2 linked regions of the Drosophila melanogaster genome follow. The protein of the gene in region 1 interacts with the protein of each later gene in a pairwise test. Each region holds a gene or a part of one and is shown in the gene's direction. Other genes may lie near its edges.

The links.
Region 2: the proteins of CG7382 (region 1) and gem interact in a two-hybrid assay, tested with the Drosophila melanogaster proteins (one large-scale study listed by BioGRID).

Annotation. Positions count from the first base shown.
Region 1 is NT_033779.5:5,518,376-5,522,004, reverse strand, and holds CG7382 (uncharacterized protein), read left to right. Parts: upstream 1-2,108; 5' UTR 2,109-2,192; coding exon 2,193-2,322; intron 2,323-2,383; coding exon 2,384-2,793; intron 2,794-2,848; coding exon 2,849-3,019; 3' UTR 3,020-3,112; downstream 3,113-3,629. Other genes in the region: Vps52 (vacuolar protein sorting 52), read left to right, coding at 1-627; cl (clot), read right to left, coding at 716-869, 1,305-1,386, 1,460-1,604; CG14020 (uncharacterized protein), read right to left, coding at 3,183-3,629.
Region 2 is NT_033778.4:10,122,746-10,127,590, forward strand, and holds the start of gem (gemini), read left to right. Parts: upstream 1-1,547; 5' UTR 1,548-3,694; coding exon of another isoform or gene 3,695-3,874; 5' UTR 3,875-4,460; coding exon 4,461-4,832; intron 4,833-4,845. Other genes in the region: CG46319 (uncharacterized protein), read left to right, coding at 3,695-3,874.

The DNA of each region.
Region 1 (3,629 bases):
ACACGACGCTACGCAGAGTTCAGTGCGGCCATTGTGGGAATCTCGGAGCATTTTCCTAATGAATTGGTTAGCCGACTGCTTCTGGAACTGCAAAATGAAGTGGAGTGCTTTATCCTTCGCATGGCCGCAATATTTCCAACGCGAAAGGATCAGCTAATCTACCTGATAAACAACTACGATTTGGTTTTGGGCGTGTTGATGGAGCACACGCGAGATAACTCCAAAGAAGCGGAGGCATTCAGAGAGCAGCTCAACTCCCGCAGTGCGGAATATGTCGAGGAGATCCTGGCCCCTCATTTCGGAGGCATTATTCAGTTCGTCAAGGAGTGCGAGCACTTCTTCGAGAAGGAACAAATGGATGAGCTGCGCAAACAGGAGCGAAGAAGTCTGGCCTTGGTCGCCAGCTTCTCGGCCAATTGGAAGAAATCTCTGGAGGAGCTAAACAGGGAGGTGCTTCTCTCATTTCCCTCATTGCTGACGGGCTCACAGCTTCTGCAGCTTGCGTTGGCCAGTTTGGTGCAATACTATCACCGATTCCACAAGCTCCTCACGCCCAATGCCCGCGCCCAGCTGACCAATATCCACGTCGTGATGGTGGAGATCAAGAAGTACAAGAGCAATTACTGAGGGACGCTTTAATTGAATCTGTGTGTGTGTCTTCTGTGTATTCCAAATTGAGTAAAGTTCCAAAATAAATGTATGTAAGGTATACGACTTAATCCTCATCCTCGAACATCATCTCGACGAGATCCTGATTGGAGCAGCGCTCGCCATCCAGACGCTGTGGCCGCTTCCAGCGCAACAGAGTGGGCAAGAAGATCAGATGCGTGTTGGGATCCTTGCGGAAGGGGCAGTTCAAATCCTTCCAGCTGCAGTGAAAAACAAGTGTTAATTTATTGCTTACCACGGTTCAGTGATAACAGGCGGCATGAATACAACTCAAGAGCATTGTAAAGCTATCGTTGTTTAATGGTTTTTTTTATCATGAATGTTCTCGGCGTGTGAAAAAGTACTCGAGTGCTTATTTCATCATCGTACAGTTGGGGTTGAGTGACTAGTTTCACATTGCCAAAATGTTTTGAACTTGATAATCGAATGACAAAGGGTTTTGGCAACTGAATGACGTGGGATATATGCATATATGTACGTCATTCTAAATGACTAAGCCTGTGTTTTGAAACTATTTGGCTATTTCGAACCAAAGAAACCAGCAGATGTTCGCAGTCTCGCAGTGCATGAAATATTAATTCCTGCTTATCTAACTAATCGCAGCTGTTTTCTTCAGTTTGGCGGTATTAACTTACTATGCCCGCTCGCCCACATCCACATGCACGAAGTGCGAGTTGCCCGGGGCCTTCTTCAGCGCATCGTGTATCACCGGCTCCGCTGCAAACGTGAGAAATGAGTTTGGGAATCGGATAGGTTGCGGTTAGCCGCATTGGGATCACGGCATGCTCACCCTTGACGCAGTAGGGGCACCAGCTCTCTCCTTTCTCGTCCTTGCCGCCACTGAAGAGGACGTGGACCGGCTCGTCGCCGTTCTCCAGTTCCTCCATCTTTTTGGTGAACTCATCGTATCCCTTGACGTTGTGTGTGACCACCATGATCTTGCTGGGATTAGTATTCACCGCGCAGTAGCGTCTGAGTATGCGACCGAAAAGCGTTGGAAGCGACGTGATGGCGAACTTTGGAGTAACTGGCTTCTGGAGGGGAATGGACTTCTCCTAATTTATCAGGTTTTCTGACTTTTTGACGTAAAAAAAGCTTACTATCACAGATGGCAGGGTTACCAGCTTTCGAGCGCACTGATACATGGCCATTTTCAAGCCAATGAAAATAATAGATTTTTAGCTACGAGCTTAGATTTTGAAACGTATGAAAGGGAAATAAATAAGAACAGATACGTTGACTTCGAAATTTATTTGTAATATATATGATTTATTTGTAATATTATCTGTGTACCCTAAACATATAAAATTTACTTTCAACAATTTCTTGTTTTTAGTAAATATCGAAATAATAAAAACGCCATTCTAGCTGGCTATAGCCATTTTAGCGGGAATAGCCCGATAACCCGCTAATTGGTGAAAATGTGCAACACTATTTGTATCGAAAAACTAAACAGCTGATTAGAATTCTTTTTTTCGTAAAGTACGTTTATTTGTTTTTTACCATTGATTTCGTCGTGAACGATGTCACGGCTAGCTTTATTGCGCAATTTGGTCACTCAGCGGCAAAATTTGTTGCCCACCAACTTTGCCAGGTTAAAATGTGCGGCGGCGATGCACTGGAGTCCACATTTGCGACAGGAAGCGTCGCGCGGTTTGTGCCTCAAACTTCTCATCAGGTTACATCTGAAATATTTACTATATTATTCATGCAGATGGTGGCGGATCCCTTCAACGATCGCAGGATAACACCCAGGTGTCGACGGATGTGCGCCCCATTGGCGAGAAGATCAAGGAGAACACTAAGACGGCCAGTTATACGGCGATTATAATCGCCGGATTAGGGGTGACCTGCGTGATGTTCTTTGCCATATTCCGAGAGCTATTCTCCAGCGAAAGCCCGAACAATATATACGCGGACGCGTTAAGACGTGTGGTCGAAGATCCGCGGGTACAGGATGCAATTGGTGCGCCCATCAAGGGATTCGGCGAGACATCCAGGCGCGGTCGCAGACAGCATGTGGCGCACTCGAGCTACGAGCGCAATGGAAAGCCCCACATGCGGATGCAGTTCTATGTGCAGGGCTTGAGGAACAAGGCCACCGTGCAGCTGGAGTCCAGAAGGGTATGTGTGATGAATATCTCCCAGGCCGCATTTTTCTAATCCTCACTTTTTACAGAGTGACTCTGGTAAACTGGAGTATCGTTATCTGTTCGTGCAATTGGATCACTATCCCCGCACCACCATCATCCTTGAGGACAACCGTGCATTTGACCCCACCCCCGAGCCAGCGTCCGCTGGATCTTCCTTTGGCAACCTAGCCCTGATGTCCAATAGCCGGGATAAGTAGGCGGATCCTTCCGATCTTCTGCTCTCCTCTTAAATTCTCTGTACATTTGTTATATTTATTATTTGACTGACAATGAAATTGCATTGGGTAACCAAGCAGAGTCACCTTTAAGTTATTCGCCAATCGAGAAGTTGTCCATCTCCAAAATGGCGCCCGATTGGTGTCAGTAGAGCTTTTTCCACGGTATGATCTCCCAGGAGCGAACGATGTGGCGTCCGAAGAGAAAGTCCTTCAGCTTGTTCATTATGTAAAACGAGATGCCGAAGAAGGAGGCGAAGTACAGCCAGAACTGTCCAAGCCGTTCCCAAATGCTAAGATGATAGCGAGCGGCAACTTGGAGCACGTCCAGCTCCAGGTCAATGATGAGACCAGGCTGCAAGCGCGCTGACGTTTCTCTGTAGTATGTCTCCTGCACGGCCAGCTGGAAATATGCTGGATTGGCCTTGACTTGCGCTAGCAGCGATTCCATCTTGAACTGATCTATATTTCCGTTGGTAGAGTTCGTATCCAATTGAACCTGTCGGAACTGAGTCTTGATGTTGCGTCCCGGAAATGGACAGGTGAACTCTACGTATTGCTTCAGCTGCAGCTCTCCCTTCAGTTGAACGTG
Region 2 (4,845 bases), on another chromosome or scaffold:
GTTTTACATTTACAAAACCAAAGTTACTAGCTTCGGTTTTGAACTTTTGCATAAATTGCGTGCTTTTTGATGAAGAAAATGAATTCTGGTATTTCTATTTAAGTCACTCCATATTTCCAAAATGACTATATTAATAATATTTGTGATGTTTGAAATTTATATAGATTACAACTATATTTTAAGTGAATAGATTAAAGCTTAATTTAATAGGGCTAAGTACCTTGGATATAATCATTGGTTTTCTGTTTAGTTTGACCAACAATTTTATAATCTTAAGCTGACTTTGTCCAACTCTTCTGGACCGATTCAAAACGCTAACCCCGAACTAGCTTAGATGCTAACTTATTTAATTTCCGTGCTAATTTTCAGACCTGTAGCTCCATTCACTTCATATTACGTTTTATAATTTTGGCTTAACTTTTCTTTATGGCCGCCGACAGTTTTAATCAATGGCCATAAAGAGTATTTTTAAGCCAAATGATGCTAATTTTTTGGAATTGATAGCGCTAATTTTTGTCTACAAAAACCGCAAGCGACAGATGCTGGCTTATTGAGGCCCAAAAAAAAAACGTGCAACCAATATGAATGAAGCTTTTCCATGCGCGCCACTTTATTGCAGCCAATTGCGCCTTGACTTTCATTGTGCAAAATAAATTAATTTCACTTGGACCCCGTTATTGATAGCAATTTAAAAACAATTGAGAAATATTTAATATTGCCTTCAATTGAAGAACTGTAAAAGGAAGCACTACAACAAAGAATTATGATAAAACCGTTCAATTCCCAAAAATTTGGCGAGTCGGCACATGGCTTTGTCAATTAAGGCCTTTCTTAGCACGTCGATCTAGGGATAGAGATGAATGATATCGGTGGATAACAATTAGTCGCTATTAGAGTACCGTTACTAGACCTTAAGTTCAACACTAGGAATGTAAGAAATTTAGTTTCTTTCCCAATGGTTATGTGGCTATTCACATTAGTAATATTATTTAATGTTTGTATTAACTTATATATAAGTTGAGTTAGTTCCGCAGATCCGTAATAATTTTTACAAGTCTGAGATGGTCCACCCTAACGACAGATCGACGCCATACGCCCTGAGCCACTCTGAAGAGAAGAACGCCCACACAAAAAGGCAATGTTCTCTTTGGGGCAGCGACTAATGGCAACAGCTGTTCTTGTTGATAAATAGCATAAAGATTTTTGTCGCCTTGTTTTGTGAGAGAGCAACAAATGCAAGTCAGCCTCTGAAACAATCACCTGGAAGGATACGTGTGTCGGGAATGTAGATAGATAAGTTGGTCTGGATAGTGCGTGCCACGGAAAATTAGCCTTGCCTTTGTTTCACTTGCATTCCACAAAGACGCACGCACACACACACGTGCACAGAATGACCCTTACAGTGGGGCTTTGGTATTGGTATTTGTATTTGCGGGTCGAACGCCACGCTCTTTTGGAGCGAGAGTGAGAGAGCGAAGAGAGAGAGAAACATAACGGGCTAGTGTATTTATTTTAATATTAGCTTTGTGACGTTCGCTCACCAAATCAGTATTTTTCGTACCATCGGCGTTAAAACACATGTTCAGCGATTTAGTGCGGGAGTGTAAACTAATCTGAGTAACAACAACAGCATCGTCGGCAAAGCAACAACAACGGCAGCAGAAAATTTTAACACGTTGACGCTTTTTCTAGTGTTTATAGCGAGCGGAAAAGCTTACTAAGCGCGTAACAAGCGAGACCCCGAAATCTTTTTTCATCTCGGTCTTTTCGCCTTTGCGTCTTTGAGTGTGCGTGCCAAAATTCAAATACGTCATCGACGCGCGCAGCCTTAAATCGAAAAGGAATGAAATAATTGATATACACAAATGCCAGCGAAAGATTGAATTCAATTGCAGGAGCAACAAATAGCCAAACAAATTGAGGAAAACAATTCCTCCAACCGCACAGCGACAACTTCAATTAATTAACTTGTTATTGTGTAGTAGCAGTCCGCTTCTTGCCATTCACCGCGAAACGCAGCCACACAAAAGAACGTGCAAAACAGCTGGGACTCGAACTGAGAGTAACGGAACGTCGAGCAACAAGTGCAGCAGCAGCAGCAGTAGCAGCGAAAACAGCAGCAACATCAGCATCATCAACAACAATACAAAGCCCTTTCAATTGCTGGAGAGAGGGGTGGTCCATGTGTCTATGTGCACTCCAATGAATACGAAGACAACGGCCACTTTTGTTGTTGCCACAATCAATTAGAGTGATAGCAGGCGGCAGAGGAAAAGCAGCGCGGCAGCAGCATCCGCATCAATTTGCTGTCAGCATCTGAATCTTCGGGTCGGCATTATTCCGAAAAGTGTGAATGTGAGCGTAGTTGCTCCCGTTCCGCCTCCGTAATCGCAAGTGCTTGTTGTTATTGTCGCACTCGTCTGCGATCCGCGAACCGCGATCTTTGCTTGTGTTTGTAACGGCGACGTCGTCTTGATTGGAACGCTCTGTATTTCTTGACTTTTTTCGTGCTTTTTTGATTCCGAAACTGGTGTATCTGTAGTTTCCCGCTAACGGCGAAAATTCACACAACTCATTGATATTTTAACCTCGTGTCCGCGTTGGCTGCCGCTCGACCAAGGTTCTGCCGCACAAAATGCTCGTCTCTTTGGGCTTTTCGAAGCCTCGCTTCGTCGGATTAAAAGTGCTCCTCTAGCACGCTCGCAAGTTAGTCCGGCCACAAAAATAAGAAAACCCAAAACTTTAAAATATAACCATAACCCATTGAATTGGCAGAAAAAGTTTTCACCACCCACCGAATCGTACCGTTATCGTTATCGCGAAACAGAATCCACAGATAAAAAACGTTCCGTTTCACTTCGTCGTAAATACAGTGCTAAATCGTGTGAAACAAACTAAAGTCGCTGCAAAAACAGCCTAATTTGTCTAATGAAAGCCGAGAGCATTTGTGAATAATTAGCCCCGAAAAAAAACCTGTTCGCAGTCACCGCAAAAATTAGGCCCCAATAAAAAGTGACGATCCAAGAAACTGGCATCTCGCCCGCTTGATATATAACACCCCAACACAAACGTAAAGTTCGCGATAACACCTATACAAAATAAAAAAAAGAGAGAAACCAAATCCAGCGAATCAACTTCAGAGTAAAGTCGCAAAGTCAGTGCAAGCCAGAGCAAAATCGTCGAGCAAACCGAGTAGTTGTCCAAACGTTAAGTCGCAAAAAGTCTAGGAAACCACCCCTACAATCGCTATCAGATTTCTAGTGCTAATACGATCGAAATAATGTCAGCCTTCTGACAGTGTATAACAAATAAAGTTACATAATCACCGTTGCAAATCCAATTTTTTTTTGGAAGCGAACCCCCAAAAGTGCCCAATTGGAATGTCGAATATCTGACAGTGACCAAACAAACAGCGAAATCAGTCGAAACCAAACTCAAGAGAGAACCCCAACTGCAGAAGGAAAGCGAGCGAAGTTGTTATCAGTGAAAATATACACACATATATATTCGATTTCAGCGTAAACAACTACTATATAATGTCCGTCGCCATCTGACAGTGGTCCAAACAACCAGCACAAAGAGCTAGAAGTCGCCGCAGCCAGTGACAAGTTTCACCACAGCGAGTGAGACCTGTACCGTAGAACCAACACAAGACACTTAAGCTTGCAACACGGGCTAACCAATTCAGCGATAAATGGAGAAATCTGAAATACGACTGCAACGCATGTCTAATGAATATCAGTCGCAATCGAGCTATATGTACCTCCGGACCAAGATGCTGTTAAAAATCGAGAATACCCTACTTCGAAGCCATCGTCAGCGCGAGACCACCGGTATCAAGAAACTATACAATTCGTTTTTCGTATTGTTTTAATTTGCCCCCCCGGCCAGTCCCGAACCCTCTCAAAAGGCCCCAAGAACACAAAACGCACAAAAGCAAAATTTACAATTCCACTCAACTGTGAGCCAAGTTAGAAAAAGTTACAAGAAAGCAAGTTATACATGTTATACCTACGTTAAATAAATATATGAATAAACTAGAGATATTATTTGGTTGTTAGTAGAACTCACGTCAAGTGCATATGGTTAGCCCTCGTATATCCAAAGTGCTGTGCGACGAACGAACGATTAAGTAAATAAGTGTGTCATATGAGCATTTTGAACAAGCCAAGCCAAAATGTTAGCCTAAGCAAGTAATCAGTAAGTGTTGGTCGATCAATATACGGTTTCTACTTCGAATATTACTATTACCATCAATCACTTTTGTTGCATTTCGCATTGCACCAAAAAACTTGAGCAAAATTGCTGGCGAAATTACTCCGGTCGGAAGTGGTGTTTCGTAATACGGGTGAGAGCGATCACGGTCAAATAATTCAGGAGGATATCAAACAACAAACAACAATAAGCTTGGACTAATAGAGACCAGAACGCGATTCTAACGCCGTTAACTCACGTACCGAATGGCGCTTTCGTTTCTATCCCAAAACTCCGGTCTGTTGGATTTACAAAGCATATTCGATCCACAATATACTCATCATCAACAACAACAACAACAACTACTACATTTGAGCCACCACCCTCAACATCACATTCAACAACACCAAAATCAACAACTACAACAACAAGCGGAGCAAATTCAACAACATCAACAAGAACGCACCCTTTCAACAAAGTTCGATTTGAACCTGTTCAACGAACTCGACCAAATGGAATTCAACAATTTAAATCGCAGTCAATATCAGAATAATAATAATAACAACAGTATCAGCAATAATCAAAACTCCAACAACAATACCAACACCACTAACGGTATCAGTGAAAATCTAAATCAGGTAAGTTTTTTGG